Linked DNA regions of Alligator mississippiensis. The protein of the gene in region 2 interacts with the protein of the main gene of each other region in a pairwise test. Links are inferred from orthologs where the notes say so. Each region holds a gene or a part of one and is shown on either strand. Other genes may lie near its edges.

Evidence for each region. The genes of interacting proteins can lie anywhere in the genome.
Region 1: the proteins of NFKBID (region 2) and SS18 interact in a two-hybrid assay, tested with the Homo sapiens proteins (2 studies listed by BioGRID and IntAct). The two-hybrid records come from large-scale screens. The link is inferred for Alligator mississippiensis from reciprocal best matches to the Homo sapiens genes NFKBID and SS18.

What each region holds. Positions count from the first base shown.
Region 1 is NC_081826.1:85,083,817-85,091,994, reverse strand, and holds the start of SS18 (protein SSXT), read right to left. Parts: upstream 3,367-8,178; 5' UTR 3,286-3,366; coding exon 3,217-3,285; intron 3,009-3,216; exon of another isoform or gene 2,712-3,008; coding exon of another isoform or gene 2,700-2,711; intron 1,777-2,699; coding exon 1,700-1,776; intron 1-1,699. UniProt on the Homo sapiens protein: Appears to function synergistically with RBM14 as a transcriptional coactivator. Isoform 1 and isoform 2 function in nuclear receptor coactivation. Isoform 1 and isoform 2 function in general transcriptional coactivation.
Region 2 is NC_081839.1:31,300,018-31,307,609, forward strand, and holds the start of NFKBID (NF-kappa-B inhibitor delta), read right to left. Parts: upstream 3,088-7,592; 5' UTR 3,053-3,087; coding exon 2,900-3,052; intron 2,454-2,899; coding exon 2,307-2,453; intron 1-2,306. Other genes in the region: POU2AF1 (POU domain class 2-associating factor 1), read right to left, coding at 6,351-6,662. UniProt on the Homo sapiens protein: Regulates the expression of IL-2, IL-6, and other cytokines through regulation on NF-kappa-B activity. Functions in the regulation of inflammatory responses.

The sequences.
Region 1 (8,178 bases), on a different chromosome or scaffold from region 2:
CAAAAATCACTTTCCACAAAATGCATCTTTTTGTTGCAAAATGGCTGCACGTGGTACAACTAACATTGTTTTGTTTTCTCTCTCTAGAACTTCTCTCCCCCTAGCCCCGCCTTTAATACCTCCTGCTTTGTATTTTTCACAAAATAGAAGAGAATTTATAGGGTTATAATACATGATTCTGACACACTTCTACAGAACCAGGCAATAAGTGACTAAGGGTCCTGGAATCTAGATTATAGTTCAGGAGCAAAAGGAACCAAGAAACACAGACCAGGCATCTAGGCTGCCAAAAATTAAGCAGCAGTAGGAGAGACAATAAACCACTGAAGATTATTGTAAATTCCCACCTTCCCTGGCAAACAGAAAGCAAGAAAAGGTGATTTAAAGCTAAGTACCCAGCCAACATTATAATTACTGAAACCCATAAACAAGACTGTGCAGAGAACACCAGGGAGAATTATTAAATATACCTATTAATATCTGGTAGAGATATTTTCAGCTACTGCATGCACGCATTTAGCTTATAAAATGCAAATCCAACCAAAGTCCTATTATGCCTCAGTGCTCTGTTGAGAGACCTGGATCTCTTCAGGCTATACAAAAGACGGCTGAGGGGTGACCTTGTGGCCGCCTATAAATTTATCAGGAGAGGACAGCAGGGAATTGGGAATGCGTTGTTTACCAGAGCGCCTCAGGGAGTAACAGGAATAATAGGTGCAAACTAGCGGAGAGTAGATTTAGGTTAGACATTAGGAAGACATTTTTTACAATAAGGGTGGCCAGAGTCTGGAATGGGCTTCCAAGAGAGGTTGTGCTGTCACCTAACTTGGAGGTCTTAAAGAGGAGGCTTAACAATCACCTGGCAGGGGTCATCTGACCTAGGTCCTCTTTCCTGCCAGGGGCAGGGGGTCAGACACGATGATCCACTGGGTCCCTTGCGAGACTATAATCTATGAATCTACAAATGCTGCTTCCCTAGTAACCTAAAACACTGAAAATTAAAAGCACCAAATTCCTGCTAATACTACTGTTAACCTTATGTGCAGAGATACAAGCACGATCTTTTAGTGGGGCAGCACTCAAAGAACGAGCAACAGCAGCAGGAAGGAGTTGTTTGAGTGTCACTCTCCAATCAAGCAGCATTTGAAAGCAGCACAAAGTAAATGCAGAAAGTTAAGATGAAGGGGTTTGTGTTGGTACTTTCTTAACATTAATTAACTAATTCCAAATGGAAATATAACCAACTCTTCTTGGCCAAAAACAGGCTTGTCATTATGCATTCATTTATAGCAAGAAGAGGTCACATTTGGTTGGGCGTAAAAGTTTTGGATCCATTTCAAGTTTCCTCTTCCATACTCTTGTTTCTTCCCAATTTTTTCAAGTAATCTAACCCTTCTCTTCAAGATATGATTAAGACACTGAAACATATGCAAGAATCTATATATTTTTGGTTCTACACATTTTATTCCATCTAACATATGCTAATCAAATTAAAATAGAACTTCTGTCGCTTTGAAAAAGAAAAAATAAATATTAATAAGCTAAATTTAAAAAAAAAAAATCAAGAACACAGCATCATTAGGAATGTTTTTACAAACTAGTTGGCACAATTCTCTCATGGGAAGATGTGAGCACACTGGAGTTTAGTTACATCGTTGATTTTACTAATTACAAAAATACAGTCAGATTAACATCTTACTGAGAGCACTCTGAGGTCTTCCCTTTATTCTGATAGTCCATTATACACTGGATGAGATGGTTATTTTCATCCAACATCTGAAATAACAAAAACATAAACATGGAATAAGTTTAAACACTCTTTGAAAAGGAACTGAAAAAGCGATACTGACTTCCACTTCCTAACCAACATGACTGTTCAAAAAGTGCTTTTATAAAAGGGGTCTGCTACTGCATCTGTAGAACTTTCCCCTCCTCTTATCCTTCTCTCCCCACTTTCCATTTTTAGGGCTGTGTGTCAAGTCACTACTAAAGTTACAGTTGCCAAAGATTTTCTATTTGAGCATCTATTGTCTTCTTATTTTAATGTTTCAAAAGACTCCACATTTGATCTTTGCTCAGATGCTTGTTTTGGAAACTCTATGAAAAAAAAAAAAAGTCCTCTTCCCTACTAGAAAGCAATGTTGATTTAAGAACAACAACACATATAGGCAAAAAAAAAGTTAAAAAACTTACTTACAAGTAGCCCTCAACACGAAGTGCTTTTGAAAAACAAAATCAGAAATTATGAAGCATTTTATTAATAGTTGGCATAACTGGTATGATTTTTCTACCAGACTGTATATGCCTTTGGGATTGTGAGTTCGCATGTATTAATGTTTTAGTCAGAAGCTATTGTCATGAAATAGCACAGCTCCTACTTATCCACAAAAAGGACTCTTACAAGTTTCTCAATGAGTGCACACCAACTGCAGGTGCTTCCTCAGCCTGATGACGGGTGTTTAAACCCGGAAGCTTGCTAAGAAACATTTTTTTCAACTATTTCAGTTGGTCTAATAAAAGATATCAGATGTGCCCACAGAAACCTTGTCTGCCTATGTCTTTAAACCAATACGGCTACAACTTGCACCCCTCCAAAATAATGAAAGTCATAACAGCCAGCCACACGCATCTCCAGGAGAAAATTTCTCCTCCCACTGAACTTGAAATTTACCCTGAAAGGCAAAGAGAGGTGGCAATACCATGGAGCTCATTAGGCGCTTGGCTACTGCTGGAAGTTTTGCACCAATGACTCTCAAGCAGGACGTTGCAGCGCCATGGGGCACGCCACCTTAGCGCAGGAGGCGTGCAAACACGGCTCCTCACGCAGGAACGAGGGGCCACAACACAAAAGCAGCAGGTCTTCCGTTCAAAAAACAAACACTAAGTTTTTTTTCCACCCAGCCTGTCCCTGGAGAGCCGAACTTGCTGCCCCCGCGTGCTGCGGAAGCCGACGCTTGAAGCCAGATGCCCAAAAGAAGGAGTGGACACGTTCCCGGAGGAGAGGGGCCGCGGTACCCATTGAGCCGCCCGCCGGGGAAGCTGCGCGGCTCTCCTTCCCGCCGGGGGGAGCGGAGGCAGGGCCGGGCGGACGGGACAGCCTATCCCTCGGCACAAAGGCCGGGAAAGTGCGGGGCGGGGCGGCGCGGGCCGAGCCCCGGCTATGCCCACCTCCGCCCACCCGCGGGCCCCCGGGGGCAGCGCCCGACCGCGCCTCACCTTCTGGATGGCGGCTGGGGTGATCTCGCCCTTCCCCCGCTGCCTCGGGGCCGCGAACGCCACCGACATGTCGGGCCCCGCGGGCAGCTGCGGCCCCAGGCCCGGCGGATGGGGGCGGGGTGGGGGAGGCGGCAGCTCCGGCCCATGAGCTCAGCGCCACGGCAAGCGGGGGGAGGGGCGGGCTGTCGGGCCGCACCATTCGCATCCCGAAGGAGGGGGGTGAGTGCACACCCCGGCAGTGTAACGCCTCTCCTCCGCGCCCTGCAAGCAGCCTATGAGGAGGCCCCGAAGCCACAGCTCCTCCGCTACGCGCGGGGGTAGGCGGGTACCGAAGGCCGGCTTTTAAGTGCGTTATTTTGGTGGATCCATTTCCTCTCCTCGCCTCTCTTCTCCTCTTGGGACGTGGTACGTTCCTACCCGACGCTCGTCCGGCTCAGAGTAGGCGGCAAGTGGTACGGCCCGGGGGGGGCAGGATGTTCATGTGACAAGGGAAGGCGCGATGTCTCCCCCCTCCCTCCGACTTGGTTGCACCCAGGCAGGGAGCACGCGGGGGCGGGGCCTGCTGGCGCGCTCGCAGCTCCGCGCTCCTTTGACTGCTCAGAGCCCGAGCCCGATGGCGCATGCGCAGAGCCCACGCCGGGCTCCCAGCGAACCTCAGCCTCACGCGTCTGTGACGCGCGTGGGCTTCAGTTCTGTGCCACGCGGGAGAGGGCAGGAGGCATCTGCCCCACAAACCTGCCCTTCACTGGCGCCAGCTGCTGCTCCATCCCCTGCTCTTCCAGCTCCCTCCCCCGTCTGCGGCAGAGATGCCCATTCTCCAGCCATGCCACAGGTGGCTGCCCTGGGTCCAGGAGGCTGGTGCCAAAGAGGAGAAACGTGCCAAGCTGCCACGTTCTTTGAAGTCAGCTCCTGTTTGCTAGAGACAGTGGGAGACCCAGGCGCTGCCTCAGGCTCTGGCTGAGACACTACAGGCTTGCCTTACTCAGCCTGCACTGTCTCCAGGGCCAGATCCAGGCAGGTGCAGTGATGTAGCTGCATGAGCGTTGCCAAGTCCTAAATATGAAATTATCATACTGGAAGTTCAAAATTATTCTATTTGCTGAAAAACTATGGTATGCTGAAAAAGATGCAAATAAGTCTTCTTATTTACTTTATATTGCTCACTATATTATCTGCAGTGAGTGAGTGAGAACTGGGTCATCAAAGTTGAAACATTTCTTTATTTTGAGACAAGTAGTAATACAAAAGTACTAGAAGCAAATCCAGAAGTAATGGATAGAGGATTTATATATATATATAACTTTATATAAATAAATAAATATAATTACAAAAACAAACAAACCCAGAAGTCATTTAAGACTCCCTGACAGTGACTTGGGTTTTGCATATGCTGCAGCAATAAGCTGTCTCAAAAATTAGCATACGTTTTGGGGGTTCAGGTTGTTGCTGTGTTGGTCTAGGGACACAGTCAGACAAGGTTTTTTTGGTAAATCCAGTATCTTTTACCAAACCAACTTAAATACTTGGAAAAAAATCTTCTTAGCAAGCTTTCGGGTACCAACTGAATGGCTTTCTTGCATAGGTACTGGCCTCTTGCTGCTTTACCACTACATCCAGGAAGAGACCAGACCATCTGAAGATGCTTCCTCATTCTGACAAAGGGTGTGTGTGACTGAAAGCTTGCTAAGAATTTTTCCAACTATTTGAGTTGGTCTAATATATCAGATTTAACCAAAGAACCTTGTCTGCCATCATACATGTTGCAGGGTGAACACTTTTACTATTATTGATTGTACATCATACAGGGGTTGAAACTCATACAAATATGATAATTATCATACACCTGGCAACATTTCGCTGCACACACCACCCCTGGCCCCCACTTTGATTCCTGGCTCCACCCAAAGTTTAAAACCAACAGGCTGGCAGTAGCAACAGCGTTTCTCATCTGGCAATGCTAAAGGTGTCAATTGATTTCATTGCTCATTCGTATCCACCTGATTCCTTCCAAATTCTTCATCCCATTGGTGCTAAACTACCCTCTCTCCTTTGAATTGCCTTGATCTACCCATGAAGCTCACCTTTGTTCTACAACACTGCTGTCTGTTTGCTGCTCCTAGGAATGTAGCTCCTATTGCACAGCCCTGCAGACTCTTTTTAACTCATTCCAATGAAGTTATACTTGTTTTTACATCAACCTCAAACAATATCACAGCCCTTGGCCCCTAGCATATTAGTAAAACTTGTAGGTTCTTTTTACCTGAAGAAAAACATGGGTTGTTACATGTGATGATGCACCTCACAATGTGCACCTCCCTTTTCAAAATCCTAGATCTACCCACTACCTCCCAAACCCCAAGTAGGCTATGAGCCCTGGCACATGCTCAATGCCACACTACAACTGCACTGCTACTGGGTCTGTGTGCTGTTGGAAGTTACTATTGTATTCACCCAATATCCTCACTTCTTTCATGCCGGCTATGGTTCTCTCTGCTCTCAGAATGGCATTTCCTTTGCCAGGCCTCTGAATTAGTATCCTCAGTTGACCTGATGCTCATCTGGCTGGCTGGCTGTACTAGAATTGCCTTTGGTCCAATCCTTTCAGTCCAGGTCATTCTAGGGAGGTAGGATAGTGCAAGAAGATTCACTACACATTTGCCTAGGATGTTTCACTTACTGTATTTAATATTTTACTTATCACCATGTTATCTGCATTAACTTTACCTCTCTAGTTCCTCTCCTTTGCCTTCCTCACACAGTTACAGTACTATTATTATTATCCTTTCCTTAGCAATCTTTTGTTTTCATATTATAATGTAAAGTTGTAAGGATTCCATATTCATTAACAGTAACTAAACTCAATGAAAATATAGGCAAGATACTGCAGGACTGTTTTAGCATAGAAAAGAACATTCACACTCAAAGCCTACATTTAAATAATAGCACAAGATCACACAAGCAAGAAAATAAATAGCTACAATGAAAATGTGCCACATGTCTCAGAACACATAACCACAACAGGGTGTCTTCTTTATGACTTTCTTAATGTACTACAATATGCCTAGATATTGAAGGACATATGGCATATTTTCTCCTTAATTGCACATTTCTTTTCTAGTGTGAGTTAGTTACCACCTTAGCATTATTTAATTGTAATTTGGATGTGTAAATCTAGATCACCACCAAGAGTTTAAAACGTGAGTATATTTTATTCAGTTGTTTCTCCCACCTCTGCTCACCTCACTTTGAAAAGTATAGCCTCCTTATTGTTATGAAGGATTTTGATGTTTTCACATCTTTTTTTTTCTGTCCGTTACTCTATTTCCAAGATGACAAATAGCAAGGAGAAATTGTCTGTGAAGCTAACCTTGGCAGAATAGTACATATGACCTCCTGAAAAAACTACCTATTGGGATTGAGTTAATGGCAAGTGAGGAATTTTAGCCCCTTCAGGACAGGACCAAAACTCATTTAATTGAGACTACTTTACTTTTGAAGAAATCTTTCTTCACTTTACATATGAAGAAACCTATGGATTGTTTCCTACTGAGATCTTGTAATAGTACTGAAAAATGTATCCTGCTGCCTAGCTCTTGACTAAGTCCACTGTCTCTGTGTCAGCTTTATTTGAACAAAATTATCTGAATTAGAAAAGCCAGGCAAGAAGAGGGATGAAGAAAAAATCTACTTCATGACCAAGCAGGCACAGAGTTGCTGGCTAGACATTGTAACACTACCGTTTTCAAAACTGCCAGGCAAAAAAGAAATAAAAAACGGGAAAGTTTCAGGGTGCCTCCACCTGCTTTTACCTTTTTGATAGAAGGTTCCAATATCCATTATAAACTTTAGAAGGACTCTAACAAACTGTGTGTTTATCATGACTCCCCAGTAAAAGCCTGGATATATTGCTGACAATGTGCAGTGCTTATTGTACATTTACCTTGGATGGGTGAGAAGCAAGCAGAGTATCTTTAAGAGCTTGTTTTGATACTTTGGGTTTATTAGCTCTGGTTAATTTAGAAAAGTTAGTGTATTTGAAGCCCTTGCCAGGTAAGACTGTTTTCTCATCTTGACATGAAAAAAAGAAAACAGAATATTTTAAATTAACAGCATGAGCACAAAACAGCAGCAGCCAGTTCTAAGGGAGTGACAGGAATCAAAATTTGATAGCTGTGAAGGAAAATCCAAAAAAGAAGAAAGATTAATTTTGGCATAGTTTCTCCCCAAGTTTTCACTGACTGCTGTAAGCCTGATCCTGGAACTGTTTGCTGTGTCAGTGAATTCAGTTGCAATGCAGGGCCAGCACTTTGAGTTCTGCCTATTTGAAGGGGTGGGTTTTTTAACATAGTCCAAACTGTGTTTCTAAACATTTGTTTGTTAACAATATACGCAATGAAGAAACACAACCTGACTGGGGGGAAATGCCCTTTGATTGTGATTTGGTGCAACTCTTTTGGTGCTTTTTACACGGTAAAAGGGATTATATCAGGAGTAGAAAGTTGTCTTGAATTTATTGTATTCATTGGCTAGTTTCTTTTTGCCTAGTTCTTTCCATTTTGACATTTATGTTTTGCTTTGACATTTGTGTAGAATATTAATAAAGAGCAATGCTTAAAATATGAACCTATGTGTTCTGATATAAAATGAACAAGCCAAATACTATTGCACATTACAATGGTATTGGTGGCTCTATCGTCTTCCAGGGAGACTATAACAAAACCAGAAAAAATCCCTGTGATGCTAAATTTTTACTATAGTATCTGTCGTGTTAGTTGCAAGTGTTAATATTTAGAATAAAAAATGCATGCCATGTTGAACAGTCAGCATTAATGGGAGCAAACAGCACCATTGCAGAGAGAAAATCTTTCAGAGTCCTGATTTTATTCTTCAAAAGGGAATCTCAAACTAGTAGGAATGTATGCTATAAATAAAGAATAACATAAGAACGTCTGATGTAATCCT
Region 2 (7,592 bases):
CTGTGCAGTAACCAAAATTACTGCACAGTATGGGTGTGCGTCTACATGTTTAGACTTCAGGAAGGCCTTCGATACGGTATCCCACCCCATACTGGTGAACAAGTTAAGAGGCTGTGATGTAGATGACTGCACAGTCCGGTGGGTGGCGAATTGGCTAGAGGGTCGCACCCAGAGAGTCGTGGTGGATGGGTCGGTCTCGACCTGGAAGGGTGTGGGCAGTGGGGTCCCGCAGGGTTCGGTCCTTGGACCGATACTCTTTAATGTCTTCATCAGCGACTTGGACAAGGGAGTCAAATGTACTCTGTCCAAGTTTGCAGATGACACAAAGCTATGGGGAGAAGTGGACACGCCGGAGGGCAGGGAACAGCTGCAAGCAGACCTGGATAGGTTGCACAAGTGGGCAGAAAACAACAGGATGCAGTTCAACAAGGAGAAATGCAAAGTGCTGCACCTAGGGAGGAAAAATGTCCAGCACACCTACAGCCTAGGGAATGACCTGCTGGGTGGCACGGAAGTGGAAAGGGATGTTGGAGTCCTAGTGGACTCCAAGATGAACATGAGCTGGCAGTGTGACGAAGCCATCAGAAAAGCCAATGGCACTTTATCGTGCATCAGCAGATGCATGACGAATAGGTCCAGGGAGGTGATACTTCCCCTCTGTCGGGCGCTGGTCAGACCGCAGTTGGAGTACTGCGTGCAATTCTGGGCGCCGCACTTCAAGAAGGATGCGGATAACCTGGAGAGGGTCCAGAGAAGGGCAACTCGTATGGTCAAGGGCCTGCAGACCAAGCCCTACGAGGAGAGACTAGAGAAACTGGACCTTTTCAGCCTCCGCAAGAGAAGGTTGAGAGGCGACCTTGTGGCTGCTTATAAGTTCATCACGGGGGCACAGAAGGGAATAGGTGATGATTTATTCACCAAGGCACCCCCGGGGGTTACAAGAAACAATGGCCACAAGCTAGCAGAGAGCAGATTTAGACTAGACATTAGGAAGAACTTCTTCACAGTTCGAGTGGCCAAGGTCTGGAACGGGCTCCCAAGGGAGGTGGTGCTCTCCCCTACCCTGGGGGTCTTCAAGAGGAGGTTAGACGAGTATCTAGCTGGGGTCATCTAGACCCAGCACTCTTTCCTGCTTATGCAGGGGATTGGACTTGATGATCTATTGAGGTCCCTTCCGACCCTAACATCTATGAATCTATGTGCACACCCATACTGCACAGTAAATATGGTGTCTTATGCTGACTTGAGCATAAATTTGATACCTGCATCATGCAGGTATCACATTTACGCCTGATTAGTTACTGCACAGTTACGGGCGTGTAGACTTCTTATTGTGCAGTAACATGGTGTGTGTGGACTGACTCGGGACTAACATGAGTCCCAAGTCAGTCCACACACAGCATTAATGTGCTTTAACTCCTGCACATGTAGATACTAGCCTATTCCTGCTTACTGCACAGTAAATTGAATCCGGCGTAAATGCATGTGTAGACACGCCCATCGTGTAAGAATGCTGCTGTACTGTCATGGCAAAGTGCTTCCATTGTGGATGTAGATTATACTGGCAAAGCTGCTCTTGATATAGCTTTATCTACCACTAGCTGTTAGGCACAATGAGCTGTACCAGCCTAGCTGAGTTGTATGGGTAGGGATTGTGTAAGGAATTTTGCTGGCATAGCCCAATCCATCAGGGCTCATGTCCCACCAACAAAGCTTTGCTGGAAGAGGTCTGTTGTGTAGATGTGCCCTTTGAAATACAAACAGAAATGTCTCCTTCTGTTTGGTTGTTACACCTTCTCATTGTCTCTTCCACCAGCAAACTAACTCAGGGGCTCAAAGCACTGAACATGTGTTTGACATGTTTATATGAAGCAGAGTCCAAAAGGGCCCAGGTCTGATTGCGACTCTGGGTACTAATACAATATAAATAATATACCTAGATTTCAACTACAAAGTTTGGCCCAGAACTCAGATTATGAATTACGACTGCCATCTGGATGTGATACAACAAGTTCCTTGGAAGTGAAAGGCTAAAGTGTAAAATAAGAATATGACAGCTGTCAGACAGGGTCAGAACAATGGTCTATTTAGCCCCAAATGCCATCTCCAACAGCGGCAAGTGGTGGATTCATTGCAAATAGGCTTCAGCTTTGTGAATGGAAAGCATGAAAATAAGTCAAAGATCTTTACATCCAGACATCTTTACTCTGGAGGCATTTCTGCTAGGCCTGGATCTCTCAATCAGTCATGCCATTGTATCGTATTTTTTACAGTGTGTGCCATTAAAATCATAAAACCCTTCTTACCTGGAGGACCTGGGCGTAACCATATGTCGCGGCGAGATGTAAAGCTGATTGCCCTTTGTCATCAACAGCACTGACATCTGCCCCTGTCAGTAGCAAATCATTGACTATGGCTGGCTGCTTGGCAGTTACAGCCACCAACAGAGGAGTCTGAAAATAGCACCAAGATAAATATAATGCAAGACTCTGGCAACAGCATGACAGATTACCAACAAAAGAAAATGGGGCTGGAAGTAGAGTCGGTGCAGGGAAGAATGAACCCTCCTGTTGCCCGAGAGAGCTCCCGGCAGAGTGCAATATGCCTCTTGGGATACGTCAGGTATCCAGGTTGTAGCCGTATTGGTCTAGAGTAGGGGGAGAGACAGAAGCTTGACCTGCCTGAGCTACCAGCTTGAAGCCGTGAAGCAAATCTTGCACTGTTCCCAGGGTGAAATTCACCCCCAAGCAATTCACCCCCATTACTTGTGTTCCACATGTTTGATGGTAGACACGAAATGGAATTAAAAACCATGGATGGCCCCAAGGCTGCACTTCTGATTTTACCAGGAAAAAGGCATGTTTCCTGGTTTAAAAATAAAAACGGTAAAAAAGTTTACCTTTCCTCTGTGCTCCTTGGCATCGAGTCTTCGCAGTTCTCTCATCCGCTCTGCGGCTGCCAGCGTGTACGCCCTCATACCTTTAGCTGCATAAATATGTAGAATTCTAAGACAGCAAATAAAGACACTGATCACTGCCTCGGCATGGGTCATCCCTGCGGTTAAGTTGTACAGAACCTCTGCTTTGTGGCTCTACGCAGGGGACTCTGGACTCTCCAGCTGTGTGCACCGAAAGGAAATTAGGGTCTAAAATTTCCACAATGGGAAATATCACATGGTGGGCATTGGTGGTATTGCCATTCTGCTGGCCTGCTTTCTCATTCCGAAATATTATTCTGCAAGTTCCCCTTAAAAGATGAGGGATAAATAATTGTTTTCATAGTCGACTCTGTTCTGCTCTTTGCAGTCGCCTCAAACGGTTTGTTCCAGGCCCATATTCTACCGTGTCTGAAAAGGCCTGCAAAGGTTAACTGCTTGTCTGATTTCTAACCCACACCCCCTCACTTCTTGCACAGATTATTTCTGCCAGAATAAGGAGACGTCTGCATGAAATGAAGGCTATTGGGACTAGGGCCATGTTAGGGAGTGCGTCAGCTAAAGTATGTGGACTTTCAACCTCAAGAGAAAAAATACAAAGGTGCTGAAACCTTAATGCATTATCAATCCATCAAACTGCATTAGGGTGCCAGTTAACTTGGCCAAATTAGCAAAAAGGAATCTGCTTTCAAAAGGGCTGACACAATATGAAGGAAACAAATCAGGGTCCAAAGTTATTGCACAGACCAATTGTCTGTTGAGGTAACATCGCACAGCTTCACGATGGAGCTTCAGCTGCACCAGCAGAGTTTGGCCTGATCCTGCCAATGAACGATCATGCCAATCTTTTCTGTCTTCCCTAGGAGGTGAGGATCTAGCAGGTAGATAAACCACTGGACTGGAGGTCAGCAGACCTCTCAGCTTTATTCCACCCAGATGCTTGACTTGTCTATCTTCTCCATTGAGAGTTCAGGCCCTTCAAGACAGGAGGCATCTCCTGCTATGTGTTTGTAAAGAGGCTGGGGTGACATGCCCCACACTCACTGAAAGCCTGTAGGCACTACAGGGATAGAGATAACAGGCATCATGAAACACACATGAACAGAGGCATGACTTGCAAGAGTAAGGACTACTCCAGAGAGCCAGGTTTTGAGACCACTTTCAGGTCTTGGCATCCATGTTCAGTGTACATTATATTTCAAAAATCAGTGCAAAGCCAAATCACTAATCTCTGTTTATATTTCTGCAAATATGCTATCAAGCTAACATTATTGATTTCAGACCAGTGTGGTTATAGTGTGCCAAATGCCACAGCTAGGAAAAGAAAACACTCTAGGCATAGAAAAGTTACTGTAGATCTTTATTGAGATTTTTTTTCTTTTTTTTTTTTTCATTTAACAGAACAACCCAGAAAGAAATTCACAGACAACACATCATCACTGTGTACACACCAGGGGATTTTACATACAAGAAACTCAAAGAAGGTTAACACAAATTGGAGCAACCTCAGGTCTGATTCACAACTGTGCCACCCCAGTCCTAGACCAGGATAACTTGGCTGTCTTTGCAAACCTGGAGTAAACAGTGGTGAACCAAGCCTCTGCTAGTTAATTTCTTTGCTGGGTTTTTCTGCAAATTTAAGCCACTAATATCATCAATAAGCCAAAATGACTGCAGTTTTCAGACAACTTTATGATCGCTGATATGATCTGATGCTTAAATCCTTTAGATTTGCCAATAGTTAATTTTGAAACCTGCTTTGAAATTCTTATGGACTTTCAACCTCATCCTGTAGTCCTTACTCAGGCAAAATCTGAGATGCCATTTGAAATATTGCCTGGGTAAGAAATGGAGCACTGGACACCAGGTCATGACAGTGTGAGGGAGCAGCCCTTTGAATAAATTCAGTCAAAAATGTTCTTCCAAATATAGAATCATCTGAAGATCCTGGGCTTTGTGAAGCAGAAAAACCCAGAGAAATTGTGTTCATCAGCTGGGACTCCCTTGGAAATCCAAGAAACAATTAGCAAATGCTAAAAGAGATACAGCCTCCTGCAAGGATCTTGGTCCGTGGCATGGTACTATTGAACACCAATAATGATCTTTACAATTGCATTACAGAGGGAAGTACATGCTGCTCGCTTTCCAGGGAAGAAAAATAAACCAGCATGATGGTGCTGTTCAGGCCCATGACTTTAAAAGACTCTCTAATACTAGGAATATTGATAAGATACATTAGAGGCCTCAACAGCTCTGGTATTTAACATGGCCCATCCCCAGTTTCAGGGGATGTTGTATCATACATCATGATAATATATCATCATTCCAATGGCTAAGGCTCAGGAGTAAGAGAAAGAACTGCAGTGCTGCCAGCTGCCTGCATTGCCACCCACCTGCACTTTGTTGAGATACCAAGCGCCTGGTTTTAGCAGGTCATTTATTTCCACGACCTTCTGTCATGGAGCTGCACCTTGCAGAACTCCCCTTGACCGGTATGGGCCCAGGGTCTGTTCTGTGTGCCACTGCAGGAGAGCCGTGCACTAATGTTATGGGGAAACATTTCACATGGAAATACTTCACTGCTGTTTAACAGCTCTGGGCTGATTCTGCAGCTCTGGGTCAAGAGGTGTCTGAGAATTTGGTCACCATGTTCAGTGAATGAAATCAGGATGCAAGTGCCCAGTTCTTTGGGGGCAGCTCTGTAACAATACAGAGCACCGGCTGCATCTCAGCACAGGCCCGTGTCTCAGCGGTTCTGTTTCTGATATCAGCCTTTTGCTTGGCTACCAAGCTGTGCTTACACAGGAGCGGAACTATTCCTAAATGTAGAACGAATATTTTCCAAAGGCTGTCTAATTACAAGGATATGTCATTTCAGGCCCAGCACTGTCACTGACCTTTTCTGAAACAACTTAACGGTGGCAGTGGAGTTGGTGGAGTGAACAAAGCAAAGATAGATCTACGTAATATTTAGGCAGAGCTCTAGAAAATAGACCCGCAAATTAAACCTGCTAATACTTTTGTAGGCAAATCTGTCTTACCACACGCTACAAAAGGGGACTACAGCATTAGCAAATGTGCTACCAAAACACCTGTGTCAGTTTGAGACCACCCTGCACATCCCAGGATGAAATTCACCCCGTGTTGACAGTCAACGCCAAATCTATGTACCCGATTTGGAAGCATTAATATGGTAAGCACATTAATGATGCGTAAGCCTCATCCTCCGCATACAGAGGAATTTCACTGCAAGTTCAATTTTCATACCAAGGGAACAGTAATGGGGAATGCCAGGAACATCTTAAGAAGAAACAAAATGGCCCAAAGCTACTTTTCTTCTACGCTCAAAACTTGTGTTGCAAGTTGGAGTTTTGGGTGAGCAAGGAAAGCAGCATCAGGCCCCAAATGCATGACTTTAAAGCCCTTCGACAGAGAGAGTGTTATTTAAAACGTACGTATCGTTGTCGTCATCTTCTAGCAGCAGCTTTTCAATGGGCAGTGTGTTGATCACTCTTCTCGCGTCCTCCAGTTCCTGTGGGGCTGGCTCTGGGATGGAGATGGGAAGTGGGACAAACTGCGGCCCAGGAAGCGTGGAGGAAGCTGGCTGATACTGCAGGGTTGATGCCGGTAATGCCGAGATGGGCTGCGGCCACGGGAAATAGGTCAGAGGTGCTTGTTGGTCTGTCACCTCCAGCTGAGGCACCACAGCTGGAGTAGTGCTTCTGGGCTGTTACGTACAAAAGAGATCAGAGTAAGAGCTTCTCAGTCTTGCTGCCAGCGCTCCTTTCCCTGTCTTTGTGTAGGTGCACATGGAGATGAGAATGGGAGATGCAACCCTTTTAAAAACCCATCTACCAGGAAGCCACAACAGGTGGGATCACACCCTGCTGAATGCACTTGTGCAAACTGTGCTCCCACCATCTTTCTATCCTCCTTTCCACCTCAATTCTTGCGAGCTTACAAGGCTATCAGTTCAAGATTAGGACAGGCTGCCTGTTTGACAGTGCCCTATTAGCATGTGAGTGTATGAATAGGATGTGCCAAGTAGGCAACCGAGGGCATATCTACATGTGTGCTTTAATGCATGTTAGCCTATGTTAATGTGCATCAAAGCATCACCCCCCAAAAAGTGCTCTTTAGCTAATGCACATTAAAATAAGCCAATACGCATCTTTCCAGTACCCCACAATGCAGGTACTAGATTTAATGCGCATTACCTAAGGCACATTAATTGAATGTGTAGACGCGCCCAGAATGCTGAACACAGCTTGTCCTTCTCTAGGTTAAGCAGTCATGGTCAGCATCATGTCAACTAACTCCTAAACACAGTTAAGCTTAACTCGGTTTACTAGGGAAGACACAATCCCTCTGGTAATAAAGCCCAGGAGATGCTGAATTTTTCAGTTCAGTGGCTGAACTGCAAAATGGTGGGAGAAGTGGGTGGGAGAAGGGAGGATCAGTTTGTGACAATCCAGACAAAACTTTATCTCCTTTTTCAGAAAGGCAAGCATTTCATTTTGCTTCAACCAGGAATCAGACTCCAATTCACAAATTACATTGGCCCTGAACACAAAAGCTATGTTTTTCGAAGAGTTCACAGGAAAAGTTTTGCCTGGTCTCACAGAATGGTTTTATTTTATTTGTTTTAAAGAAAAAG